3 linked regions of the Coturnix japonica genome follow. The protein of the gene in region 1 purifies or fractionates together with the protein of each later gene. This does not show direct contact. Links are inferred from orthologs where the notes say so. Each region holds a gene or a part of one and is shown on either strand. Other genes may lie near its edges. The genes, in order: SLF2, RAD18 and SMC5.

What was found.
Region 2: the proteins of SLF2 (region 1) and RAD18 purify together in Homo sapiens (affinity purification with mass spectrometry; 3 studies listed by BioGRID and IntAct, with this or other methods). This does not show direct contact. The link is inferred for Coturnix japonica from reciprocal best matches to the Homo sapiens genes SLF2 and RAD18.
Region 3: the proteins of SLF2 (region 1) and SMC5 purify together in Homo sapiens (affinity purification with mass spectrometry; 3 studies listed by BioGRID and IntAct, with this or other methods). This does not show direct contact. The link is inferred for Coturnix japonica from reciprocal best matches to the Homo sapiens genes SLF2 and SMC5.

Annotation. Positions count from the first base shown.
Region 1 is NC_029521.1:20,245,209-20,249,288, reverse strand, and holds the start of SLF2 (SMC5-SMC6 complex localization factor protein 2), read left to right. Parts: upstream 1-1,182; 5' UTR 1,183-1,317; coding exon 1,318-1,424; intron 1,425-2,907; coding exon 2,908-2,951; intron 2,952-3,435; coding exon 3,436-4,080. UniProt on the Homo sapiens protein: Plays a role in the DNA damage response (DDR) pathway by regulating postreplication repair of UV-damaged DNA and genomic stability maintenance.
Region 2 is NC_029527.1:16,639,644-16,643,295, forward strand, and holds part of RAD18 (E3 ubiquitin-protein ligase RAD18), read right to left. Parts: intron 3,553-3,652; coding exon 3,476-3,552; intron 2,776-3,475; coding exon 2,715-2,775; intron 1-2,714. UniProt on the Homo sapiens protein: E3 ubiquitin-protein ligase involved in postreplication repair of UV-damaged DNA. Postreplication repair functions in gap-filling of a daughter strand on replication of damaged DNA.
Region 3 is NC_029547.1:31,403,622-31,406,326, reverse strand, and holds the end of SMC5 (structural maintenance of chromosomes protein 5), read right to left. Parts: intron 1,118-2,705; coding exon 977-1,117; 3' UTR 549-976; downstream 1-548. UniProt on the Homo sapiens protein: Core component of the SMC5-SMC6 complex, a complex involved in repair of DNA double-strand breaks by homologous recombination.

The sequences.
Region 1 (4,080 bases):
TGCAGCACTGAGCCAACGCTCCCTGTCCTCCTACAGCAACAGGCAAATACATCAATACGGGAAAAGATTACACGGGTGGGAGGCAGCACCGGTGCTCCTTGCTGGCTGGGCTGTGAGTGCCTGTGTGCTCTGCTGACATCTGCCAAGTGTTTGTGCCTTTGGGGGCCGTGTGTGTTTCAGGGCCGGAAGCACCCGGAAGGCTGCAGGGCTGAGATTACCGAGCTGCTGGCGGCTGCTTTGCACCTGAGTGTGTGAGATGGATCCGAGGGATTTAGCACACAGATCCCTAACACAGCCAGCATCTCCAATTCAAGGAGCACAGCAAGAGCTCTGCTCATATTGCAGCCCCCCCCTCAGCTCCCCTCCACCCGGGGAGCCGCTTCTGTCCCGTGTCACTTTTTTTCACATCCTTTTGGCCACACAGATAGAAACTGGGTGACATTTCACGAGCCTACAGGAGTGGGAAGAAATGGAAATGACCAGCAGGGACACACAGGATGGAGGAAACCAGCAGCCTCCTCGTTCTTGCTGTGCTGGAAGCGTGGTCAGAGGGAAGGGAGTTTCTTGGGTTGTTTTTCCCCTCCAGGTTCCTGTTTTCCCCCCAGCCGTGCTGGGAAGGGCTGGGAGTCCCAGCCGGGTATTTCCCCGATAGACAAAGCCGTGTTCCTGCTTGGAAGGGCCCTACAACAGGTTCAGACCTGGGAACCACCCAGTGCCACAGCCCACGAGCTCAGCTCTCAGCTCCCGCACCCTGCTCTAATGGCAACAACCCCCTGAGCCAGGGGCCGGAGTCTGAAGGACCTTCATCCCAGCAGCCTCACATTGGGATTCTGGGCACTGACCCCACAGCCGGGTTAGAGGCAGGGGATATTGCTCCGGGGATCCGCTGCACGACACGGACACGCCCCACGCGCGTTCCCGCCCCGCCGCGCGTTCCCGGCGCGCGCTCCCGCCGCGGATTTTGCCCGCCCCCTCCGTGCACGGACCAATCAGATCGCGGGGCCGCGGGGCGGAGCCGTGCCCGTCTCTCCCCTTCTCCTTTAGGCGCGGAAGGCCGGTCCCGCCCCCCGCGCTCGTCGCAGCCAATCGTAGCCAGGCATTGTCTCCCCGTCCCTCCCGCCAAGGTGAAGAACCAATGCGAGGCGCGAGTCCTTCATGCGCTGAGCCAATCAGCGAGCGCTCCCAGTACTGCGGCCGCCTCCCGCCCTCGGCTCACAGGGCTGGGGGTGTCGGGCGGTGCCGCGCAATGGCGGCGGTGCGGCGCGGTGCTCGCAGCCCTCAGCCCCTCCACACAGCACCGGCCGGGCTACAGGCGCCATGACCCGTCCGCTCGGAGCGGGATCGCCATCCCCGAGCCCGCCCGCTACCCGCTCCGAGCGCCATTTTGGGCTGGCAGCGGGCAGGGCCACGGCCCGGGACTGCAGGTACGGCCTGAGGGGGGCAGAGCTCAGTGTGTGTGTGGGGCGGGCGGCGGGACCGGGACTGTGCATGGCCGGGAGCTGGGAGCAACGATGGGAGCCGGAGTGAGGCCTGGGAACGGGAACGGGATGGTGGGGCGGGACCGGAGCTGCGGGTAGGGATGGGACGGATCTAACACGGAGATCAGTGTGAGGGGCCGGGCGCCGTCAGAGCGGGGAGGAGATGGCGGCGGGGCTGCAGGGGAACGGGCAGCAACGTGTGCGGTGTGATGAGCGGCACTGAGCTGACAGCACGGGTAGGATCGGGGCAGGAGGAGATCATGGGGGTGCCCCGACACTGGAGGTGCTGGGGCTGGGTCGGAGGGGTGCTGGGCTGGTGGAACAGCCTGTATTGGGGTGGAACTGGGCGACCTTAAAGGACCTTTCCAACCCAATGCGTTCTGTGATCACCGTGTGGCCCTTCCAGCTTGGGATTACACGTGGTTCTGTGGTTCTTCTCTGCCGTGTGTGTGACTGCTGGCTCAGGTTGGTCAGGAAGGCGATGGAGTCTTTCTGTTCAGAGAACTTAATAACTCCATCCCAGGTGAGCCACAGCCGTCCCTTCCACCTCATCTGCCCTGTGCCGGGCAGGCAGCCTGGCAGTGACAGAAGGGGCTGATGCTGGCTGCTGTTTTCAGCTCGTCGTTCAAAATCCATGAGTGTCATACCTGCCTGTGTGCCTGATGTGCCTCTCACTGCTTGCTGGCAAGCCTCTCTGTAGGCTTCAGCAGTTGGACTGTAAAGTGGAACCTTCAGTTGCTGTTGGTGGTGCCCTCCAGTCTGTGCCTGCTGTAAAATGCACATAGAAGTTCTGTTAATAGCACAGACCTGATGAACCTCCCCATGTACTGAAAATCCAAACTGCTGAAGGCTTATAGGGTTTCTTAGAGGCTGCCAGATCGAGGAGCTTTTGCTTCTAGCTGTATGAGGCAAGTGGCAACTGTCCTACACTGTGAGCGGTGCCTTGTTTTGTTTGTTGACATGGATCTTCTGTTTTGATAACCCTGAAGGGTGGAGCTACAAGTTCTGTTCCTGTTCTGTTGCTGCCTGACAGTGAAAGTGAAAGTACATGGTTCGGTTTGGCTGCTTGGGGATATTTAGAAACAAACTTTGATCTAAGAAGAAAACATTGTGTGATAATCCTCTGAAAGAACACTGTGAGGTTCTGTGTATGACTCTGTGTATTCGTTGTCCTTTTTTTGCCATCAGGATGGTGCTTTTCAAGGCTTTTCGAGGTCAACTCATGTATTTTATGTGAAGTTTGGTACGTTTCTGTTCCCGAGGCTGAGTCACGTCACACTGCAGGTTGAAATAAGAGCTGCTGGCATTAGCAGCAAAACGAAAAGCCACAGAACCCCTGTAGAAATAAACTTCAGCGTTTTGCTTTATTCACTGTGTGGACGTTTAGACACTGTTCTCTCAGATGATAATACTTCTCTTTTCTCTTCAGAAACCAGGCTATTACAGAGTTCTTCAAACCGGTTTTAAAGCAAGGTAAATATAAATATCTTCCACTAACAAAATGCAAATAAGAACCAAAGTTTGACTTATGGAGGTCTACATAAGAGTGGGCTCTTCCCAAACAGGAGCAGTGGCACAATGACTTCATATTGCCAAATACGTCTAAATGAGCACATTTATACTTTTCTTTCTTAAAAACATAACTGAAGAATTAACTTCCTGTTACAGTGAATGTCTGTAAGTAGCAATGTAGTGGGTAGAGCTGTTTTATCACGCTCAAGGTAGGTGGTTATAGCAACAACAGCCACGTCAAATATCATGCAGTTGTGATTTGATATAGGAGGTAGATTGTGTATTACTAACAAACACTAAGTGATCGGGTAAATTCACTTTGGGCTGTGTGGGAGAGGGGTGAAATACCAAGCAATGAGATACAAAAAGACTCTTCCAAGACTCTTTCCCCTTCCCTCCCCAGTATTGTGGTTGTGAATGATGAATCTTCCCTTTGCTCTTTCAGAGCTCGGCCATAAAGACAGAAGCGTGTTGTGTTCCTCGGACACAGGAAACGTGAAGGATGCAGGGATTGGACTGTCTGTTCTACGCACCGAATGCTTTGAGAAGCAAATGACTCCTGCAAAGAGGGTTAGAAGGAAAAAGATGCCGGACCCGACACCAAAAACAAGTCCTATATTAGATGCCTTCCGGAGAGGAATTGAGAAAAAAGGCAGTGTAAACCTATTAGACAACAATGCGGTGTGCAAGGCACTGGGTTCAGCATGGCCAAGGGTTGTGATTCGGAAACTCTTTGTAACTGCGGCATCTCCCAGGAATATCTTGGCTGAAAAAGATAAAGGTGTCAAGCCTGAGCAGGGAAGAAGTGAGAAGTATCTGGATGTAACAAGAACGCTGCTGTCTTGTGAGAACAGTTGGGAGCAGAAAACTGATTGTATGGATGTAGAAGAGACCAGTTCAGACTCGGACAGATGGGTTTTATCAGAAGCTGATTCTCAGAAAGCCTGTGCTAGAAATAAAGGCAACGCAAGCAGCACGTCTCTGTGTCAGAACTCAGGGCTTCTCTTGAAGCTGCCCTGCACTCCTCCTGACTCCAAGTTTAGGTTAGCACTGGGAACTGTGCACAGAGGAGGAAAGCAGAAGACACACA
Region 2 (3,652 bases), on another chromosome or scaffold:
CATGCTTGTGCCCTCAGCAGCCAGAATATTTGCATAAACAAAATCTCAGATTTTTGCACCATAAAACTGTGTTTGTTTCCTCTTCACGTCACCACATTCCTGTTTGTTTGTTTCTCTAAACCCATTAATATTGGGATTGCCGTTGTAACAGCCTGTAACATGATGAAGATTTCAAGCTCCTTTTGGACATTGTAGCTCTGCATTTGTTAGTAATCTCTCCCCTGAATTAGACTGAGAGGCTGTACTGCTCAGTGGAATAATTAGCCTTTAAGGGTGAGTTGTCACTCAAAAAATCTAAAAGCACGAACACCTCACAAAACCCCATCGGCTCTGAGTGCTCAGAGCATTCAGCACAGCATTTTGCCAAGGGAAAACAAAGCCTCAGTGCCTGACACACTTCAGCAGAAAGTGCCAGTAACCAGCTACAGAAACAGGGCATCCCTTATTCTGTGCTGGTTTACCTTCCAGCTGTAATTCCCAGTTATTTGCTTTTTGAGACCACTCAGTATGAGACTGACCTTACTGATAACAAGCCCAATGGAAGCCATGTGTTTCCAAGGTGTCCTTTCTCAAACAACCTAACAGAAGCTAATTGAGGCTATCAGCCCCATCCTGATAACCTGGTTAGCATGCCTCTTGCTTTATCACCTTACAGCAGAGGGTAGCATCCTAACTAGAGAGAAAGAGCAAACCCTCTGGCCTACACTGTTACCTGCTTTAATGCAGCTCTAAATTTTCCCATCTCTGCAGTAAAGCATTTACAGTGTAACAAGGTAGTAAGCACAACAGTGACAGCAGAGCAGCAAGATTCCAGGCCACAGCAAGTGAGGATTTGCTCAAATGTGAAAGAAGTGGGCACAGAAATAAAGAAGCTGCTTACCTTTGGAAGGCCTCAGGTACACAAGGTATCTCTAGAGTGATACCCTCACCTCCACTGCCAACCCTTAAATGAGGTCCGGCAAGGGGTGGATCCTGGCTCCTACACTGCATGCACCTAAGCTCCCCTGGGCTGGCCCTGCTTTCCTACCAGGTGCTCCATCACTGCTTCAAGTAGGGATTAGCATTGCCACTACAACTGTGCTTATGGACCAGGAAGAACCCCAGCATACAGAACAAGCACAAAACCAATAGGCATCCTCAGCCTGCGGCAAGCTGAGGGCTGGGGGAGCTCAGCTCCCACCTCAGGCCTCTCCCCACCACCTCCTGTCAGGTTCTGCCCTCTGCGAGGAAACACATCTGAAATGCTTTTCCCATGTATTGTTTAGAGCTTATTTCTTCCTGGCATTGTTGAAAGCTCAACATAACGTCAACAACTCCTTTTAGCAAAAAAAATGTTCCCGCCCAAGATGCTTGTATGTAAAGCATGGTGCATTTATTACATAATCCCTTTGGTGCTTCAGTTTTTCCAGCATTACTATTTTTTGTTGTTTTGTTTCATGCTGCATTTACGAAGGTCTTCACATCACATCAAGCGTCCTGCCAATACAGGGCACTGCTCAGATGCAATGTAAGGCACAGCTGTGCTGGAGATACATACCATGTGCAGCTCGTAAAACTATGGGTATTTCAGTAATAAAAACAACTGCAGACATAATTACAAATACTTCAAACACCAGGCATAAATCACCGAGTGTCTGAATCCAGTGTAAATTAAAAGACTTAGAAAGAGCAGCGGATTACATTTCTTTTTTAAATTATTATTTTTTAAGCTTGAAATAGAAGCCTGCCCTTAAGGAAAACGGGAGGCTGACCTTGGCAGGGGGGGTGGGGTGGGGAGCAGAAGCATCCCAGTGCTATTGCTGAGCTCCAAGGGAGCAGAAGGAAGCTCCTGACCAGGACAACAGTGCTGGCTGTACCTAGCAGAACAGCAGTGAGTGGAGCACGGATGGCAGCTGCTCCAGGGCTACCAGGCACTGAGCTCTGAGTTTATCCTTTAGAACTGTTTAAGCTTTGTTGGGGGAAAATACCCCACTCAGGGATTAATAAGTTCATGGGGAGTTTTTTTGTTTTTTGTTAGGGGGGTTGTTTGTTTCTGTAACGGGTTAGATTGGCGTTTTTAATTTTGCTTTGTATTATATTGCTAGACGTTTCTGCAAGGCAAGAAAGCAATTATGAGCCAGTTACATGAAATTAGAAGAGAATGATTCAAAACCACAAACAGTGTGTGTACAGCTGAAAAAAAAAATATTCTCAGGAATAGAAGCAAAAAGCAAGGGGAAAAAATTGCTAAAGATTCAGGCCCTTATTTAGCCTTTACAGAAACCTAGCTAAACTCAACAAAGCTAAATCTAGCTGCACTATGACATAATTTATATGCTTGAAGCAACAGAAGAACTCAAGGAAACAAGGGGAATGTGACCATATTGCAGATTTAAATACACCCATAAGTATCACCAGAACAAGTTGTCCCGACAGTGCTTTGCTCCTCCATGGTGAAAGCTGGGAAGCTCTGCGTGCACTGCATGCATGCACTGTGTATGCATGCATACACCTGTCCCATGGTAACCACTGCTTCCAAGAGTGCAAGCACTGTACAGGTGAAGTCCTGCATAAAACTCTCACAAGAACCTCTGCTTCTAAACTAAGCCTAAAGAAAGCTAAGCTGCTTACGTGGCTCCAAGGACAGACAAAGGGGTTTTGTTGGTGGTGGCTTGGTTGGTTTTTTAAAAGATCAATTAATGAGGAAAATGGATTGAAACTTGGATTTTACTCACGATAACCGGTGTGGATCTCATCTATTTCCTGCTCTGTCTGGTCCTTTGTAAAGGTCAGGCTCTACAGAAATCACACAAATGTTTATTTACTAGGAGGAAAAGTTGATAAAGCCATGTACTTTAAAACTAAAAACTAACTAGGGAAGGCTCAGTCATTCAGTGTTCTCACACCAGCTCTTAGTCTCTCATCCACAGACGTAACACATGTTTAAAGTACATACTGTCTTGCATTGCTTTCACAAAGACAAAGGACTAAGCCAAAATACCCTGGGTAACACCCAGCATGTGTGGGCCATGAAGTTCTCCCTAACCCTGGACAATAAACGTGCACCAAAAGTCACAAAAGTATCATATGTCATGGGAAAAGAACAGGCACTATTGCTAATAGGGAAGCAAGGAATGTGCTAGATAAATCCTAGAGAATTCTAGGAAGCAAAATATTCCCCACGCTACCATGGAGGGTCAAAGTCTTCCAGTACGACCAAGGGGAACATTACTTCAGAATTTTTATTGCAATCAGAAAAAAAATTCTCCTACTTAAATGGTTTGGACATATAGACGACAGCACTACGCTAAGAACTGCCCATGACAAATGGCTGATATGAGAAAATCAAGCAGGTTACAAGATGGTATATGCCAAGTATTCCAAGTCTGGAATTCTGGCAATCACCATAATAAAGCAGCAGGCAGACACACTGAGCGTCCACACTGCAATGTCTCCTGTGCGTCCCCCAGTTTAGGAACAAGGACCATCAGCTTACATTTTCACCACTTTTACTCAGTTCAAGCTGAAGCCGAATCTTCTCATTCTTTTCCAGCTCTTTAACAATCTCTGCGACTGTTTGAAAACACATGAAACGGATCGTTAAACAGGAGTTGTTAGGGATGCAACAGCACTGAACAAAATGGCTGCTAACAAATCACAGAGAGACAAACCC
Region 3 (2,705 bases), on another chromosome or scaffold:
ACATAGCAGTTAACTAATGAACTAGAAATGTATTTTAGGTATTCAGTGTGCTACTGGTAGTGTCTACTTAACTATTTAACAGCTGTATTCAATGTTCTATCGATAACATTTACTTTCAAAGACTTAACACCTACAGCCAAAACTCTACTGATTAATTCTGTAGTTAAAGATAAAAAGCTACGGTATGTACCATCACTCCAGCACAGCTAAAGACTGCTCCTGGTCATATCTAGTTTTACTTTAAAAAAGTCACACATCACTGAGTTTCATCTCTGCAAACTCTGGCTTCAACTGTTTCAAAAACACCTGGCTCTGTCACATCTTCTTGCTGTAGCAAAACAAAGACCTTATCCTTCCAGGAAGACAAAATGCAACAATGGCTAAAAAAAGTTTTAAAAGTAAAAAAAAAAAGGTAAAAAAAAGTTTAAAAAAGTAAAAAAAGTAAAAGTAACAAAGTGTATTACCAGCCTATTCATTAACATAGATCTATTTTCACAAAACAAAAACCAGTGCACAGCTACTTACAGACCATTACCTTCTCACACATCTTCTGTTTCATTCATTTATTCATTCAAAAACTTTCCATTTCATTCAGAAAACTTGGGAAAACATCCTTAATGGTGTTAGGGGAAAACAGTTTAATAAGAGTAAACTCCAAACTTATAAAAAAAACAAACTTCAGTTTACCGCAATACAACCTAGAACAATTAAACATATTTTTGATATTACTGAAAGTAACAAAATAAAGAAACTTCCTTTTTATTTAAAATATTATCTAAACAAGACACTATGAACTTTACAAAGTTTTAAGAACCAAAGCTCTTAATCATTGACCCTCAGCAGTTTCTCATCTCTTACAATTTCTGAAGATCTGAATGACTGATGCTATAAAATATTCTTCAAAAACACCAAATATTTTATATGTGTGCATATATGCATATATATATATATATATATATATATATAAACACATGTATCACTGTTCATCCACCCTCCCAAGTCGCCGCCGCCGCCTACAGAAAGACTTTAAGTTCCATTTGTTTGCCTCCAGCATATAAGGTCCATTGTAGACAAACAGCAATGTCATCTTTTCATTGTAAGTAAGATTCTGCAAGAGCTGCGGAAAAACACAAAACTCAAAGTCAAAACAGCTAGAAAAGATTACGTTCCTGAACTTAAATTATTAAATTAGATTATCTAAAAGTGGTGAAGAAGGTTAATGTCAAGTTTATACCTTAAAAGGTCAACACTACAGGATTAATTTCCTAATTTTTCTGACAGATGGTGTATAGATTTTTCCCTGAAACCCCTGAAGAGATGTATAACTCAGGTGATTAACATGTTTCACTTATTTCTTACAGATAGAAACATTTTCGCATAGTACCTTCTTGCTGCAAGTGAAGTCTTCACTTACTTGCCCTAGCCAGAATTACCTAATTTCAGATTACTTTGACCTCTAATCTTGCTCTGTAGGAAAGAAAAATTGATTCCCAATATGATGGTTGTTTGTACCATAGTTCGATATTACAACTGATTTTCAAACCCAGGACTCAGTCATGAGGAACACACTCACTTTTATAATGATTACAATTATCCAGCATACAGCTTCCCCTATCTTTATTCACATTAAGTGGTATCTCAGTACAATTCCTCCTAGTAGACCACTACAACTTCAACATATGGTTATCATCTTCTTATGGCTGATTTTACTGAAAACAAATCAGATTATTAAAAAATAAAAAAAAAAATCAAACAAGCAAACAAAAAAAAAAAAAAACCCAAAACACAAACACAACCAAAAATAAAAACAGAACTAAACAAAAAATATAATACAGATATAATACAGTCAAACGAAATCCTCAGTATTTTCTCTTCATAATAGCATGATGCTGCTAAACCGTGGTCCTACATACTCTTTGGTCTTCCTCTTACCATAAATGTTAGACCTTTTTTAAACTCTGAAGTTTCTTCTTGCTTCTCATCTTTGCTCTGATTTTTGGCTAACTCTACAAGTTCAGTTTTTTCCCCTTACCTATTCTTTGTAATCTGACAATAAGCTCAACTTTTAAAACAGACTCCAAATCCCCAGTCATCTCCTATAGCCCCCCACACATGAGAAGCACCTCTATTGGTAGAGCTATACATTCAACATCCATTCAAATAACTGTTGTTCCTTAAAATAAGAAAGAGTAAAGTAGAACAAATGGTAAGGACAGAAATCACAGAAACGCAAAATGAGACAGATATACAGAACAAGACAGACAAAAATAACACAACAAAGAAATGACCAACTGTGTGGAGATAAGTGAATTGCAGTTATCAGAAGGAATAACAAGCATCACTTCCCCTCTATTTTTATTTATTTTAGGAAAGTGCTATAGCTGGCTTTGCCTAGTTCTTTCAATTGTTCTTTAAAGGAAAGAATAGCACATAATATACCAGATTTTCTAAAATGCAGTAAAGGTGGGGATGTAGGAAAACTGACATCTGAATAGGAAGTATAAGGCCCATTCTTGCCTCCCTGGCACACAAATAATTTTAGTGCTTCTAGCTGCCTTGTGTTAGTTGAATCAGCCTCTGTTCAAAGCACAGCTGAACTGCCATCCTGTGTGATAGCCTTTTCAAGCTATGTCATACAAACTCAGAAAGTTAAATGCTGTTTTTTTCTTTTGTTTGTTTTAACATATATACATGATTAAGAACTG